4 linked regions of the Drosophila melanogaster genome follow. The protein of the gene in region 1 interacts with the protein of each later gene in a pairwise test. Each region holds a gene or a part of one and is shown in the gene's direction. Other genes may lie near its edges.

Evidence for each region.
Region 2: the proteins of CG17270 (region 1) and CG42359 interact in a two-hybrid assay, tested with the Drosophila melanogaster proteins (one large-scale study listed by BioGRID).
Region 3: the proteins of CG17270 (region 1) and CG42495 interact in a two-hybrid assay, tested with the Drosophila melanogaster proteins (one large-scale study listed by BioGRID).
Region 4: the proteins of CG17270 (region 1) and CG31415 interact in a two-hybrid assay, tested with the Drosophila melanogaster proteins (one large-scale study listed by BioGRID).

What each region holds. Positions count from the first base shown.
Region 1 is NT_033777.3:20,815,885-20,820,875, reverse strand, and holds CG17270 (uncharacterized protein), read left to right. Parts: upstream 1-1,946; 5' UTR 1,947-2,165; coding exon 2,166-2,167; intron 2,168-3,075; coding exon 3,076-3,236; intron 3,237-3,290; coding exon 3,291-3,381; intron 3,382-3,448; coding exon 3,449-3,567; intron 3,568-3,661; coding exon 3,662-3,798; 3' UTR 3,799-4,431; downstream 4,432-4,991. Other genes in the region: CG17271 (uncharacterized protein), read left to right, coding at 78-226, 433-683; Fancd2, read left to right, coding at 4,783-4,857, 4,924-4,991.
Region 2 is NT_033777.3:19,160,701-19,164,167, reverse strand, and holds CG42359 (uncharacterized protein), read left to right. Parts: upstream 1-1,867; 5' UTR 1,868-1,929; coding exon of another isoform or gene 1,930-2,052; intron 2,053-2,128; coding exon of another isoform or gene 2,129-2,378; 5' UTR 2,379-2,417; coding exon 2,418-2,816; 3' UTR 2,817-2,909; downstream 2,910-3,467. Other genes in the region: Nsun5 (Nop2/Sun-like domain containing protein 5), read left to right, coding at 1,930-2,052, 2,129-2,378, 2,944-3,441.
Region 3 is NT_037436.4:18,665,585-18,668,702, forward strand, and holds CG42495 (uncharacterized protein), read left to right. Parts: upstream 1-1,776; 5' UTR 1,777-1,850; coding exon 1,851-1,995; intron 1,996-2,063; coding exon 2,064-2,209; intron 2,210-2,262; coding exon 2,263-2,400; 3' UTR 2,401-2,551; downstream 2,552-3,118. Other genes in the region: MYPT-75D (myosin phosphatase targeting subunit 75D), read left to right, coding at 114-670.
Region 4 is NT_033777.3:9,741,945-9,745,166, forward strand, and holds CG31415 (uncharacterized protein), read left to right. Parts: upstream 1-1,572; 5' UTR 1,573-1,615; coding exon of another isoform or gene 1,616-1,723; intron 1,724-1,787; coding exon of another isoform or gene 1,788-1,918; intron 1,919-1,967; coding exon of another isoform or gene 1,968-2,070; intron 2,071-2,125; 5' UTR 2,126-2,131; coding exon 2,132-2,605; 3' UTR 2,606-2,718; downstream 2,719-3,222. Other genes in the region: Pnn (pinin), read left to right, coding at 1-24, 256-275; CG34409 (uncharacterized protein), read right to left, coding at 1,109-1,485, 1,616-1,723, 1,788-1,918, 1,968-2,070, 2,737-3,222.

The sequences.
Region 1 (4,991 bases):
TTCTGGGCTGATCTATTTCTTCAACCAAATCAACGATCAGTTGGATCTAATACCAAACCTTACTCTTTCAATTTCAGTCACATCCAGGAGCACATGCAAGTGCCAATCGATACGAGCAAGATGTCCGAGGCTGAGCTGCAGTTCCACTACTTCAAGATGCACGACTCGGACAACAACAACAAGTTGGACGGCTGCGAGCTGATCAAATCGCTGATCCATTGGCACGGTAAGATAGCTACTGCTTTTTAATCTGGCTCGCTGGTTAGAGTTGCGTTTGTGGTTTCTGTATTTCGTTTTGTTTGACCCACTATTCTGTTCTACTTCTTTGCATATGCGTAATAAAACTGGGCTGTTTCCGGTTATGGTTGTGGTCATGCTCGAATCTCATGCTAATCCATCTCGCATCCGCCATAACAAATCATTGCCATGCAGAGCAAGGCAGCAAGGAGCAGCCGAACGGTGAGAAGCCGCATGTGGAGGAGAAGGTTTTCTCCGACGAGGAGCTGGTGGCCCTCATTGATCCCATCCTGCAGATGGACGACACCTCACGCGACGGCTACATCGACTATCCGGAGTTCATTAAGGCGCAGCAAAAGGCCGCCGAGAAGCAGCAGCAGCAGCAGCAGCAACAACAGCAGCCGCACGAACAGCAACAGCAGCAGCAGCAGCAGCCGGTTCATTAGTAGTCACCCAGATGCGTTCAGTTTACATACATAAAACCATGTCCTCGTCCCGCGCTCTGTGACGTGCAACACATACTCCTGTTTCTGCCCAAAACACCCTGAAATTACGTTGACCTCGTCGACGATTTTAGCGCACTTCTTAGATAAATTTGAATGAAATTTACTTAACATGCTGCAAGCATTCCAATCGGAGAACTTCATTGAACAAATTGTAACTAAACGTCCTTCTGAGAACTCTTTTTTCAAAAGATTCGCATTTTCGAATATTATTTCTCACGAATCTCTCGAGTGGGTTGTGCAATTCCAGCCGCCTTGTTTCGTTTTGTTTTCGATTGTCATAATTTTAGTTACTTTTCGATATGAACTAATTTTTAAGCGCGACTTTAGAGCAGCAAAAAAAACAGACTGATTGTGTAAACGTTTGTTTTGTACAAAAAGAAAATGAAACTATGCAAAAAAATAAGCGAAGAAAACCCCGTCTTTTTAAACTGAAACCTACTATATAGACGCATGCAAATCTCTGTAAGTAAAGCCGAATTAGCGAATAAAGTCAACTTCAAATCACACGCGACCACCACATGTAATCCCTCTATCAAGTAGAATTGTAGACACTAGAACACATTTTCCGGTTTCGGGTGAGCTTAGCTAACAAGTTAACCATGCCCAGCGGAGCCTTAAAGTGTACATTACCTTTCTAGTCAAGGATAGTGGAGAAAAACCAGCCGAGGCACACCAGGAAGGCCACGCCGAGGGCCAAGCGCAGCAGCCCGATGATCACAAATCCGGATCTGTGTACACGGACAAGGCTCTGGAGGACACCATTGACTATGTGCTGAAGTCCATGGACCTGAACAACGATGGATTTGTCGACTGGGCCGAGTACCGCAAGACTGAGGCCAACATTGGCAAGGACTAGACCAGACTAGACCAGTTTCATCCCAAGAGAGCCATAGAACTTGACAAATTGTTGATCTTTTATACATGTTGCCTATACATATAGCAATTCCGATTGAACACAGTTTACAACTTTTGTACTTTGCTAAATAAAATGATGCTAAAAATGCAAGCCACACTTTTTTTTTAAGTCAGTAATGGCCAACTTGTGAATATATTTTTTTTAATCATAATCATACTATATTAATTGAGGACTTAGACCACTTTTTCCAGGTATTCCCGGTGCGATACGAACCAATCAACAAGAACCAAAGCTCCGAAAGCATAAAAGCTGCCTGTCCTCGCACGAAACTTTCCCATTCTAGACTTTTAGTGGCTGGCAAGGCGTTGCAGGCGGCGGTACGAGAATCGGTCGCGTTTACAGCTGAACGGCGAAAATACACATATATGAAATAAACAATCGCTGCTGCATAAAATAGGTTTTTGAGGGACACAAGAGTGCCAGTGGCAGTGCTGCAAACAAATATTACGCATACGCCGGGTGGGACGGATCGCGGTACTGCTGATTAACACGGGAATCTTTGCAAAATGTGAGTGAATTGAGGAGTGCTCCCGAAATCAAATACACACATAGCCAGTGGTGCATTTATTGTGAACCGCCTGATAGTGGCTAGCCGGTTGGTCCGGGGCCCATAAATCGCGTTGCTCGGACGACCCAGTCGGCGATGTTGCTTGGAAATAAACAACCGGGACTAATGGTGGATCCACCATAAGCGCTCCACGTGGTCGCGTGCAGCCGGGAATTACGCTCCGCATATTTGCATTGCGCAAATAGCACAGCAGCATAGTGTGCCATAATATCGATTTTGCCCAGACCTGCGGAGTGAAGTGGAGTGGGGTGGGTGGTGGCATGTGCTGGGACTTCCGAGTGCGATGCGATTCTCAGGGGAAGATAAGCCGGTTGCCACCGATGCCATTGGACTCGGCTGCTCGCTTGGAGTTCATGCTTGTGCTAAAAGCCTTTAAACAAAAGCACCTCATTATGCACACGCAATAGTATCGCGTTTATTCTAATGGCTTTGTAATACCGAAATATGTACATAGTTGGTTCTCTTATTATATCATCATAATCTAGACTGGGTCGGTCTGCTTTAAGCATAATGATACTATGACCTGAGCTAAATTTGTATATTTTCTGGCTAAGGTTCTTAATGAGTTTTTCTTATATCTTAAAACATTCGTTACACGAATACGAGTAGGCATAAAAAAACCTTACGACGAATTGTTACATTGTACATTCTATTACAAGTTTTCTGCAGTATAATGACCATTTTGTCAAAATTTCAAATAATTTTCTAAATATATAACCCTGATATGTGTAATAAAGTCTTCAAGTTGTGTTGGACATTAGACCAATTGGTAAACCCATTCCTTAGATTAAATTATTTTCCTTTAAAGGGAGAATGGATATTAAATAACACAGAAAATTTACTTGTAGGGCTGCCATGCAGTCTGGCGGACGACCCCGCGAGCGATTGCTGTACGCCTTCCGGGGATGGATAGCATTCGTGGCCTTCATGGACCTGGGCACGGCCTTTAGGAGCTACATAGAAAGACGCAGCTTCCTGGGCGATCACAGCGACACCCAGTTCATAGAGGGTAAGTGGGGATGGATTGAGCTGCTGGAGTCGCATTTGATGGGTTCTTTCACAGGGGACTACACCATATCGCGGATCATCGGGATGTACTGCCTGCTGAAGGCCATCGCTCTCGTCCACTGCACCCTCTACATTCACTACAAGCCGTAAGTGAATCCCATATATCCTCTGGTTAGATTATCGTCACTAATGGGGATATTTCCCTACGTTTAGGGTGGTCAGCATGGGCGGCTGCTCATTGGCCCTCACCATGGTCTTCTATGCCACCGAGGCACTCTACTTTCGCTCCAGCACCATTAACTTCTACGTGATCTTCCCGTGTGTGCTAAATTGTAAGTAAACACAACTAAAATTCAGTAATAACAAATTATATCTTTTTTGTAACACCCCGAACCATTTAGTAAATTGAATCTTTCGCCTTTTTAGCTATAACTCTACTGGGCCTCATCTATATACCCAAACGACTGCGGCTCTGGGAGCCAAATATGGATCTGGATGACGAAAACTCACAGCTGCTCAAGCAAATGACGGGCTTCAAGAGACGACGAGCGAAAAAACAATAGTTTATTACTATCTAGAAATATGAAAAGCAATAACCGGAAGACACTGAGTTGAGTTTCCGTTAGCACAGTATTGTGAAAGAATCGCAAATTTCGCTTTGGACTGCATTGGTGTGATAGAATCGGCATCATGTTCATCATTATATATACTCAATAGCAATACTGAAAACAACGCCAAATTAGTGATTTTCTATGAACTAGGTAGTGAAGGGTCTAAATGGCCCCGGAATAAGTCAATTTCTGGCATAATCACTTCAAGACATACATATGTTGTACTTCCTTTTTATAAAGCGTATTTATATACATTTAAAAATGTATGGCACAATAGAGTTTTTGCACTTTTAAGAGTTGAAAATCGATACTAGGAAATATTTATCTAATTATCAGAGACATCTAGCACCCGAGTTAAATAATTAAAATCGAAAGGCTTTAAATTAACAAATAAGCTCATAATCATCTTATTTACATATACGATTATCAATTTATGGATCATGCTTCCGTATCGATCATAAAATTAAGGAACATTTTATAGTCATTACGTATGATTGAATGTTATGTAAACCTAAAAAAAAGAAAATACAATAATAGTTTTGTACGAATTATGTAGATTATGTTTCAATAAAAATTTGAATTGACGAAAGTGGATTTTTATTTAGACTTCTACACACAGTGCTCTAAAGGTCGTTTCTTCATTTATTTTGTTAGATTTTAATTAGTAATGTTAAAAAAAAATAAGTATTTCTATAAGAGTTGAATTATTAGTTAATTTTTATAATCATTTGAAAATCGTAAAATTTGTATAAGAATTGTTACGATATTCGTTATTGCGCTTAGCGAATTCACGAACCTCGACCACCGCGGCTATCGATAAAAACTGATGTCAATGCTCGGTCACACTGCACCTGCATACGCGCCATTAAATTGTTTTGTTTTTATTATTTTGTGATTTAAGATTGAAGATTGAAGCTTATAAAGCTTTCCAGTACTATGTATAAACAATTTAAAAAACGCTCAAAGAAACCTCTGAACACCATCGATGAGAACGCGACCATAAAAGTGCCGGTAAGTGGACATTCGGACCAGTCGGAATTTGGAACTCCATTTACTTGACCAAAATCTGTGTTTCAGCGCCTGGCGGAGACGACCACAAATATATCCGTTGAGTCCTCATCTGGCGGAAGCGAGGAGAACATACC
Region 2 (3,467 bases), 1.7 Mb from region 1:
TCTCTTCTCTCTCCGCACAAACGCACACTAGTGAAAAAGGCTTGTTTATGTTTTTTATGTGTGCGCTCTCACTCTCTCGCGCTCTTTTTTGTTCCCGGCGCCACAGAGTTTTTTTTCGGTTTCGGGGAGGAGGCGTGCTCTTTTTTTCGAATACCAAATTTAATTGGGCCAAATTCTGGGGAGAGAAAAACAAAAAGAACATATAATATCCTGCATCCTTTCTGCAGTGCCATTGCCCTGACTTTTGGCGGTATTTTCTATTTTTGGGAATCTGAAATTACAATTTAAGCTTTTAGCGAATCCTAATCTAGGAAACAGCAATAGTGGTACATAAGGTCCTCCGTGCTGGACATGATGCACATCACCCGGAACAGTGGCACAAAGAGTTTATCCAAAATATTAGGATGTTCTCCTGGCTGTATTGAAAATTCCGTGCCACTGGATCTTCGCCTATGAGCTGTTGAACTTTGTTACCATTTTATAACTTACACTTACATATGTATATTATTATAATCTATTATATAATATCAATGTTATTGTAATTATATTATTTTGCGCGCTGAATTCATGCCTATGCGATTCTATTGTATAAATATATATGTATTTATATATATGCATTTGTTAATACTTCTGAAAAAGAAAATGAAGAACTTAAATATCCGTTACATATTATATAATATTATTGATAATATTATTATAAGAAAAATATGTCTTGAAGATCAAATTGAAGATAAGAATTTTAAAGTTCCGGAAACTGATAATTATTTTATAACTCCTCATAATTTTTAAGGTTTTTTTTTTTACAAAATCAAAACATTTTTTGTTGTTTACCCTTGAAATATTTCTTTATTCACATTTTCTACATTAAAGTGCTGCGCCAAATATAAAATTTGAGCCTCCAAAAGAATTAAAAAATTTAACTTAAAAATAAAAAATATTAATTTATGTATATTTGAAATTAAGCAGCAGTCAAAGTTATTTTAGTAGTTTATTGATGTTTAGTGGGCTAAGATTGTTCCTGAGGGGAGTTCCGCTGTGCACCACAATGGACTGAAATGAATATTCCCGGATTCCTTCTTCATTTCCGCCAGCGGTTAAAACCTGCAAAGTGACAGTGTGTCAGTTTTAATAACTAAAAAGAAAGTGCAAGTATCTACCGATTCATTTACATGGATATCAGTCGTGATTTTCGAGGAGACTCTTTTCTGAAAGTCGAATTGAAAGCGTTAAAAGCCAATACAAAAGTTTCCGGGTGCTGGCTGATGGACTCAACGTCTGTTCTTCGCACCAAGGACATTGTAGGATGCGATCCTCAGCCTTGATATCGTCTATCAACTCCTGGGCAAACATAGAAAGGTACGTTTCCTTAAAGTCCTTAAAGAATAGCGTGCTTCATTTTAATATTTTTTAATTAAAGCAGCCGTACAGACCCCAAAACAAACGACACACCAGAAACAAATTGGAAAAAACTTGATTTAATTCCAATTTACCAACTTATGCACGATAAATAAAAGCATGATTCTAAATTTTGGTAAACCTCCAAGAACGCGCACACTTTGACATTTTAAACTGCGGCTTTATCGCGCCAAAATTTTTAACCATGAAAATATTCTTGTGTTGGCAATGCTTGAAGTACAGTAATTTTTGCTCGCAACGTATGGCCACACTGCCAATTTATTTGTAAATTTGATACCCTGTATGTAAATATATTGGATAGAACATATATGTTTTGTAGTTATCGTTGGCAAAATTAGAACAACCTTTACATTAATTGTAGATATTTTCAAAACATGAATAACAATATGATTTGTTTCAAACGCCACATGCTTATCTCCAGCCCTGACATTCGATAAGCATATATCGATAAAGTCGTGATTGGGGTTGCACCTATTCTAGCGCAAACAACACATACACGTGCACGTGACGACAATGAGTAAAAAACCGCATTCCATAAAAGTTCCCACCCAATACAGGGCGACTGCCAAGATTTTGAAGGCGGCACTGGAGCAGCAGAAGTGCATCAAGACCCTAATATTTGCAGAGAAGCATGCCGTAAGTGGATTGGACCTCTCGTCCGCAGATCAAACCAATATGCGTATAACTTTTCCCTCTCGCACTTCACTTGTAGCGTACACGCTCTTTGCATACGGTTCTGAAAAAATTTAGCGAAAATCGTGTGGCACTGGAAAAGGCCATCGAAGAGACAGGACTGCTCAGGGACAATCCCAGTTTTGATCCCAGTTTGGCCAAGATTCTAGTCACCGAACTGCTGTTTGGCAGGAAGGAGCTGAACGGCGAAAGCAAACCCGTGCAAACGGTGCGAAGTTACAAGGATCGACTGCTAAATTCCATCAGAGATTTCGGTGTCCAGCGAAAAGGCAGGTTATCACACCGATTACCAGTATTAGCCGGCTGAGATGGGCAAGAAGAACAGGAAACAACAGCATGTCGATGTGGTGCCAGCTACCACTGATGATTCCCCGGCTGTCATTGATTCTCCCGTGGAGCATCATACGCAGCAGGAGGACACCAGTGCGGAGGTCTTCCTCTGGCTGTTGGCCTACAGTGTGCTCATGTTCACGCTGCCCTTCTTGGGCTTCTATGGCGTCCGCAGCTGGCTGCAGGAGTCCTTCCCCCATTTGGACCTTTTCACGGTCAACTGTTGGTCAGTTCTCACGGCTGTTGTGGTTGTTAACCTCGTGGTGGCCATGTATGTATTAAAGGCTTTCCGCGAGAAGCCCCCACCACCCTTGGAACCCGTGCAGCAGGATGAGGACGACGAGCCGGAAGCTGCGGAGCCAAAGAAAGAACAGTAACTTAAGTGCTGCCAGCCAAGTCCAGATTATTTCGATCGTTTAAAGGACCAGTAACGACTCTTAACAACTCTTAATAAATCTTACTTTGGCTACAATTTTGAACTCGTCTTTTTGTTTGCCCACACAGAACCCAATCCTCGATATGTGCGCATCAACACAAATCTATACAGCTTGGCGGAGGCCTTGGACTACCTGCATAAAAGCGACTGGCGGCGCAAGGAGCTGCCTGCGGACGCCAGCTATGCGGATTTTCTGACTGCCATCAAATCGCTGGCGGAGAACGAGTTCATGACCGATCTGCACGTTGAGGGTGTGCTCATTTTTCCTGCCAAGTGGTCCAACTACTGGGTCCGCCATCCGTTGGTGCACAGCAAGAGGTTTATACTGCAGAACAAGGCCACCTGTTTGGCCGCCGAACTACTTGCTCCGCCGTCTGGGGCCACTGTGCTGGATATGTGCGCAGCTCCCGGTATGAAGACAGTGCACATATGCAATGTGATGCAGAACAAGGGATGCATCTACTCCGTGGAGCAGGACCACGTACGCTACAATACGCTGTGCGAAATAACAAAGGATGCTGGTTGCGATATTGTAAAACCCATTTTGGGAGACGCCTTGAACCTAAGTGAGTTTTATATTTATATATTTCAC
Region 3 (3,118 bases), on another chromosome or scaffold:
CCCGTTCTGTGTCGTCTGCCTGCCCGCATCATCATCAACAATAAAAACAACAACCACCGCACCACTAAACACCAAACACACCCAACGCCTTGCCAAAAACTTCCAACATCCAGACACCAATAGCACGCACCACCATCAGCAACATCAACAGCAGCAGCAGCAGCAGCAGCAACACCACCACCAGCAACACGTACTGCTGTTGCAGCAACACCAGCAGCTTCAGCAACATCAGCAGCAACAGCAACAGCAGCAGCAGCAGCAGCATGTTGCCTTGGATGGCTACAGCGCCACATTGGCCAATTTGAAGAAGCAACGCTCGCTTTCACGCACCGCCAATGTCCTCAATACTTTCGAATTGTCATCCCAAACAGCTAGCAATGCCCATCCAATTGCAGCAGCTAATGCCACAACAACTAATGGTTCTGTTTTAGGAGCCGGCGGCAGCAGCAGCAACAACAACAACAACCTGAGCACCAGCAACAACAACAACAACGGATCCGCACCGATCTCGACGCAGCCAACATTGGGTCACATGGGCGCGGGAAGCGTGCTATCCGACTTCGAGGGCTCCTCGCCGGCGGGCAGTTCGCTGAACAAGTTCAGCGGCATCACTGGCGACGTGGTCACCGATAGCACCAGTTCCAGTCGCAGGTGTTGCGTCCTGATGTAGAAACTTAGCGAACTACTAGAGTCACAGGGTATTAGAGCAGCCAGAATTGTCAGAGGGATAGGCCATTTGTTAAATGGCAAGAAAAAAGTGTCTTTTTATTAGATTAGCCGTATTCAGTGAGTGAATTGTTGAATGTTGATTACACAAATGCATGTTGGTTTTGAGAACGGGGTTCGATTCTGTGAGCTCCTAGATAACGGCTGAAAGTCGTTGCATTTTCCTAGCAGACACAACAACACACTAAAGACACACACAACCAATTATACGAAACAAATTTATACAAATATACAACCATATGTATACATTTTAAAGAATATTAAAAGAATTACGTATAAAATAATTGTGAGCAGTTTACCTTAGGCGATATATAACAACTAACTAAATCAAAATGAAAAAACATCAAAAAATATTTATATAGCAATGCTAAGTAAGAACCTAACTTAATAGATTTGCTTGGAGTGCATTAGGAATATCTGTGTTTCCGTGTGTGAGTGTTACAACCGAAACAGGCGAAGTATTATGCAACAAGTAAATATTTAACTAAATATATAGTACGATAGCAAAATTGTAGTTAAACCGTGACAGCAAAGTAAAGCAAAGCAATGAGACGAAATGCATAGCACTCAAGCAATTTCCACATATAAGTGTCTAAATGTTTGAATTGAAGGAATGTTAATAATGCCAGGCGGCATAGAGATTTATTTTTTAATGCAACTACTTTGCTCTGCGTTATGTAAGTTGAGTTTTGTTGAGAGGTACAAGAATATATGTATTATTTATGTAGCAGCGGTCTTTGTATATAAACCTACACAATTCCAAAAGATGCAAAAACAACGCGCAATTAGCAAATGAGACTTTTTCGATGAATGTCAAGGCATTAGCTGAACGTTTTGTAAAATAAACAAATGAAATACGAAAAAATTACACACAAATTTGATTTGATTTTGCGCCAGTTAGTTTTTTATATTCCTGTGCTTATATTTCTTATGAAGAATGAAGTTGAAGTAAATATCTACTCTTTTAAATCTCGCGCCAAGGTGCTCCACCTGGCGGGATTTTAATGAACCGCAAGCTTGTCATATGGAAGTAAGTTGGCAGCTTTGCGCATCAGCTGTTGCCTCGTTCGACTTTTGTTTACATTTTTATTGGTTTAAACTTATAAGTTTAAAGATCTAACCTAATGGAATCACTCGCAAAATATCGATACAGTTTGGTGGCTGGCTCCTTCGCAGCTGCAGGAAGCTTTTTCGGAAAACTTCCCAGCCACCTGAGCGCCCAAAAACTACTGAATACTTCGCAAATAAATGAAGACTTTTCTTATTTAGGCAAGATTGTGATTTCTTCAAACAAGCAAAATGTTTATAAATTTATAAAATTTTATTTTATTTATTAGAAATAGCATTACTTCAGCTGCTGCCACTAGTGTTAATGGTAACATGCAACGTTTGCAACTTGCGTTTCTTTTTGAAGGCCCTGCAAATGACTGAACAAACTTTAACGTGCGTCGTTTTAACTGCCGCTTCGAATTATGTCTTATCGGTAGGTGATCCACCGATCTATTTGTTCAATTATGATTACTGTTCGTTATATAGTTTGTCCTAGGTGCGCTTGTTTATCGGGAGCCACTGACAGTACTATCTGGCATCGGAATAACTCTCATTCTGGCTGGTCTTTGGTTTCTTTGCGACGGAGGAACAGTCGAGTCCGAAAAGCAGGACAAAATGGAATAGTAGGAATGGGATTTGCTTAAGATTAGCTTCTTTTATACACATTTTTCATTTGCCATATAACTTTCTGAAGCAGGGATAAAAATAGTTAAAGAAACTTAATTTTCCATTTGTAACTTTAAAATATAAAAATGTTGGGAACCCCAATTAGTCCAAAAAAACGAATGGTTTATATACTTTTGTTTAATGTATGTACTGTTTTGCAAATACATAGTTTTCATTTCATTTATAATGCACTGTTAGTGTGCACGCTTCTTCATTCACGCGGCAATAATTACAACTATTATGTTTTACGTGGTTTTGTATTTTTGTTTTCATCGTTTGTGTGTAAAAGTTTGGCAGAACAAAAAAAGGTGTTGAAATGGGATAGAGCATGACAGTAAGAGCACAAACTATAAATATATTTATCCCTTCGTTTATATATATAGGTAATAGTAATTAATTTTTATAATTCAGAATCGTTATTTAATTGCTAAGACGTATAAATACTTTTTATATTCTTTCTCTCGACATCTGTAATCATCAATCAGCTTCAACGCAGCCAAACAGACAAAAAGTAAAATCAAGCAAGAAATGGCAGATCCAAGTTACATACAAGTTTTGCCCATCTGTCGTTTGTTTTCCTTGGACGAAGTAGTGTTGTGTCCTGTCCTATCCTGTCTGGGAGTTTTAGAAACCCTTGGAGCGCTTACTTTCCTGTATTTAGTTGTAATTCTTTCGT
Region 4 (3,222 bases), about 11 Mb from region 1:
ACGACGAAGAGCAGTTGGATAAGTGTAAGTAAACTTCAGTTTGCACTAGGGCTTGAAATATGATCGTGCGGATATCGCTGTGTAGGGCAATTGGGTTTCAATTTATAAAACTTATTTATGAAACTTTAATTTATAATACAAAAACCAGATCTTAAGCAAATAAATTACAATGCGGTGATTACATTTAAAAGTTATATCGTATTTATCAACTCAAATACCTTTGTTTCAATGTTCTACTTCCTGTTTTTATTGCAGCTTTATTATACGTTAAGTAAAGTACCCAAAAGTAAATGATGCTATTCTAGGAATAAAGGATTACAACTAATGCAATTTAACAAATTATTTGCAAAAGCAATTGTTTTACTTCACCGAATGAAGGGGTGTTTAAGAACATCAATTTGTGGACAAAACCAGTTATTCTTTATTGCCATTATTTATGTCCTACTAGAAATAAAACTTGGAAAAAAAAAATTGTTTACTGCAAGCAAGCTATATTTGTATCTTTCAAAAGAATTTGTAAAATTGTAAATAAAACTAAAAAATATTTTACACGCAAGATATTGGATCGCGAAATAGGAACATTAAATACCTAATTATGTATTTATAGATATAATCATCCTGAAGCTAAATCACATATTTTATTCTCGCTTCCAAATTGTTTGAGGAAGTAACTAATTTAAAATGAGGCGTTAAAACAATTATAATTCTTTAAGCGATAAGTTAAGAACTCTTATAAGATAATTATACCTTCTTCGCCGTCTATTAACATTATTAATTAAGACCAGTAGTCAGAAGCAATTAATGAAAAAATAATATGTTAACCTCTGATTCTTGTACTGTATTCGTGTAAAAAAAGAACATTGTTTTTCTGAAAATAAAATGAGAGCATTGACATCCGCCATATACAGTAGAAAAATACAAATTTGATGAATACGATTGTTATACACGTACATTTTATTGAAATTTAGGTGATTTGAAGTGGAACCGAATTTTTGTATTTATCCGTAGAATGTATGAATCATTGTTCTTTACGTCGATGTATTCTGAAGACTTTGGCATTGGAAGCTTTGGATGTAATTTGCTAGGGATGGGTTCCCAACACGACCGCTCACTGGTCAGATCCTTCGGCGATGCTTCGCAGTATCCAATCGGAGAAGCTACTCACCAGGGTGTAGACCCCCGGAATGGTGGTCACGCCGCACAGCGTCGGTCCAAAGGCCACGATGCCGATGATCGTATAACGTCCACTTGTTCCAAAGACGCCGGAGGTACCGTCGTCCATAAAGGGGCCGCCACTATCGCCTCGGCACACGTCATTCATGGGCATTCCCTGGGCGCACAGGTGGTTGGGAGTAATCACAATAGGCTGCTGGAAGTTCTCACTGAGACTGGCATAGGCGATGGCGCAACTGGTGGTGTTCACGATGGGCAAACGGATGAAGCGCACCCCAGCGGTGGAGTTTGAGGGGTCCATCGAACTATTATCTGGATAAAATTTGTAGTAGAGAATGTTATATACATTTAAAACCTAATATGCACTGAATTATATTTCGATCGCATTGATAGTAAGTTAAAAAATGTAACAGATCAGATATAAAGTTGTTTCGAGACTAACTTTCAGTACTCCCAATACTCCAACCAGCAGCCACTCCAATTTGTCCTATCAGCCTGTTTCCCAGTGTGATTGGCCCGTTGAAGGGTAAGCATATGGGTGTGAAAGTGCCTGCAAGGTTGGTGGTGGTTATTCAGCGTAATCATTGACCTAGGATAGGAGTATAATCTCTTACCATTAGTGCTGTTGATTCGTAGGAGGGCAATGTCATTTGCATACTTGGGCTGGTCGTAGTTCGGATGAACTATAACCTGCTCGATGGCAAACGGAGTCGCCCCATCCTGACTTCCCAATCGAACATGGGACCTACGAAAGAGCGTGGATTACAAAAGATTTAATTAGGCTTTAGACTTACAGTTCCAAATCGCTGACTAGGTTGACCACACAGTGGGCGGCAGTTACGATGTGGTTGCTGGATATCAGGGATCCGGAGCAGCGAAAGCTAATGCGGCTGCTGCCTGAAAATATTATCGTAAAACTTCTGTAAGAATAAAGATTTTTTCTTGTTTTCAGCTCAACATGTGCGCTTGCCCTTGTTCAGGAAGAAGTCTACCACCTCAGAGCAACAACCCTGATTCTTGCCCAGCTCCTGGCTCACGGGGCGGTCCAGGTGCTGGTGGAGGTGCCCCTGGTGCCGGTGGAGGCGGCCCAGGTGGTCGTGGAGGGGGCCCGCCCCAAAAGCGTGGAACGTGTGGCCCCAAACCTTGCGGCGGACAGCAGTGCAATAAATGCGGTAAGGGAGGCCCTGGAGGAAGAGGTGGCCCTGGAGGAAAAGGTGGTGGCCCTGGAGGAAGAAATGGCCCTGGAGGTAGTGGTGGTCCCGGAGGCAGAAATGCTCCCAATGGCGGTGGTGGAGGCGGAGGAGGACCTTTTGGGCTGAGTGCCCCACCAAACAATCGCGGACCCAAGGCTCTGGGACTGGCTGCTCTGCTCTTTGCCGTCGGCGTCTACCTTACATTAAAAATGGTTATTGTGGCCAGTGAAATTGGATGAGCGCAGACAGGACGGCATTGGGCCCGGCTCAGATCTCCAATGCGGAGTAAGTTTAAGAGCATTTAAGAGGCGTTGCGTTGGGTAAAATAAATTCGAAATTGCGTATTTAGCCTAACATAAGATGTACTTACTTCGGTTGCGATAAGCGATCCTTGTCAGCCAGGGAAACTGTCCGGCACTAGCCTGATCTCCTCCCAGCAGTCGGCTCTCTACATTTATCCCACATCCTTGGGTGTTCTCCTGTGCGAAAGGTGGCATCGATGCGGTTGTTGTGGATAAAGAAGCAGGAATTGTTTCAATTGGTGTAGCTAATGTTGTGGTAAACGGCGCCAGGGGCGGACCTTGATCTATGTTGGAGTCAATTGCCTCCTCTCCCTGCCGCTGGAAGCGTAGGTCCCCGGGAAATACTATGGGCTTATCCTTTGGCACGGGTCGCAGTAATGTATCCCGTTCTTCGTGCTCCACATGATACAGAAAGTGGTGTCCCAAGGCGAACCGTCGGTCGAAGAACTCTGGTTCCACGGGCTGGGGACAATTGCGTTGTTCCTCGAAGTTCCAGTAGTCATGCAGATTGGTCTCCGCTTCCAGATAATCCCCGTGTGTGTGGGAGTGCCGGC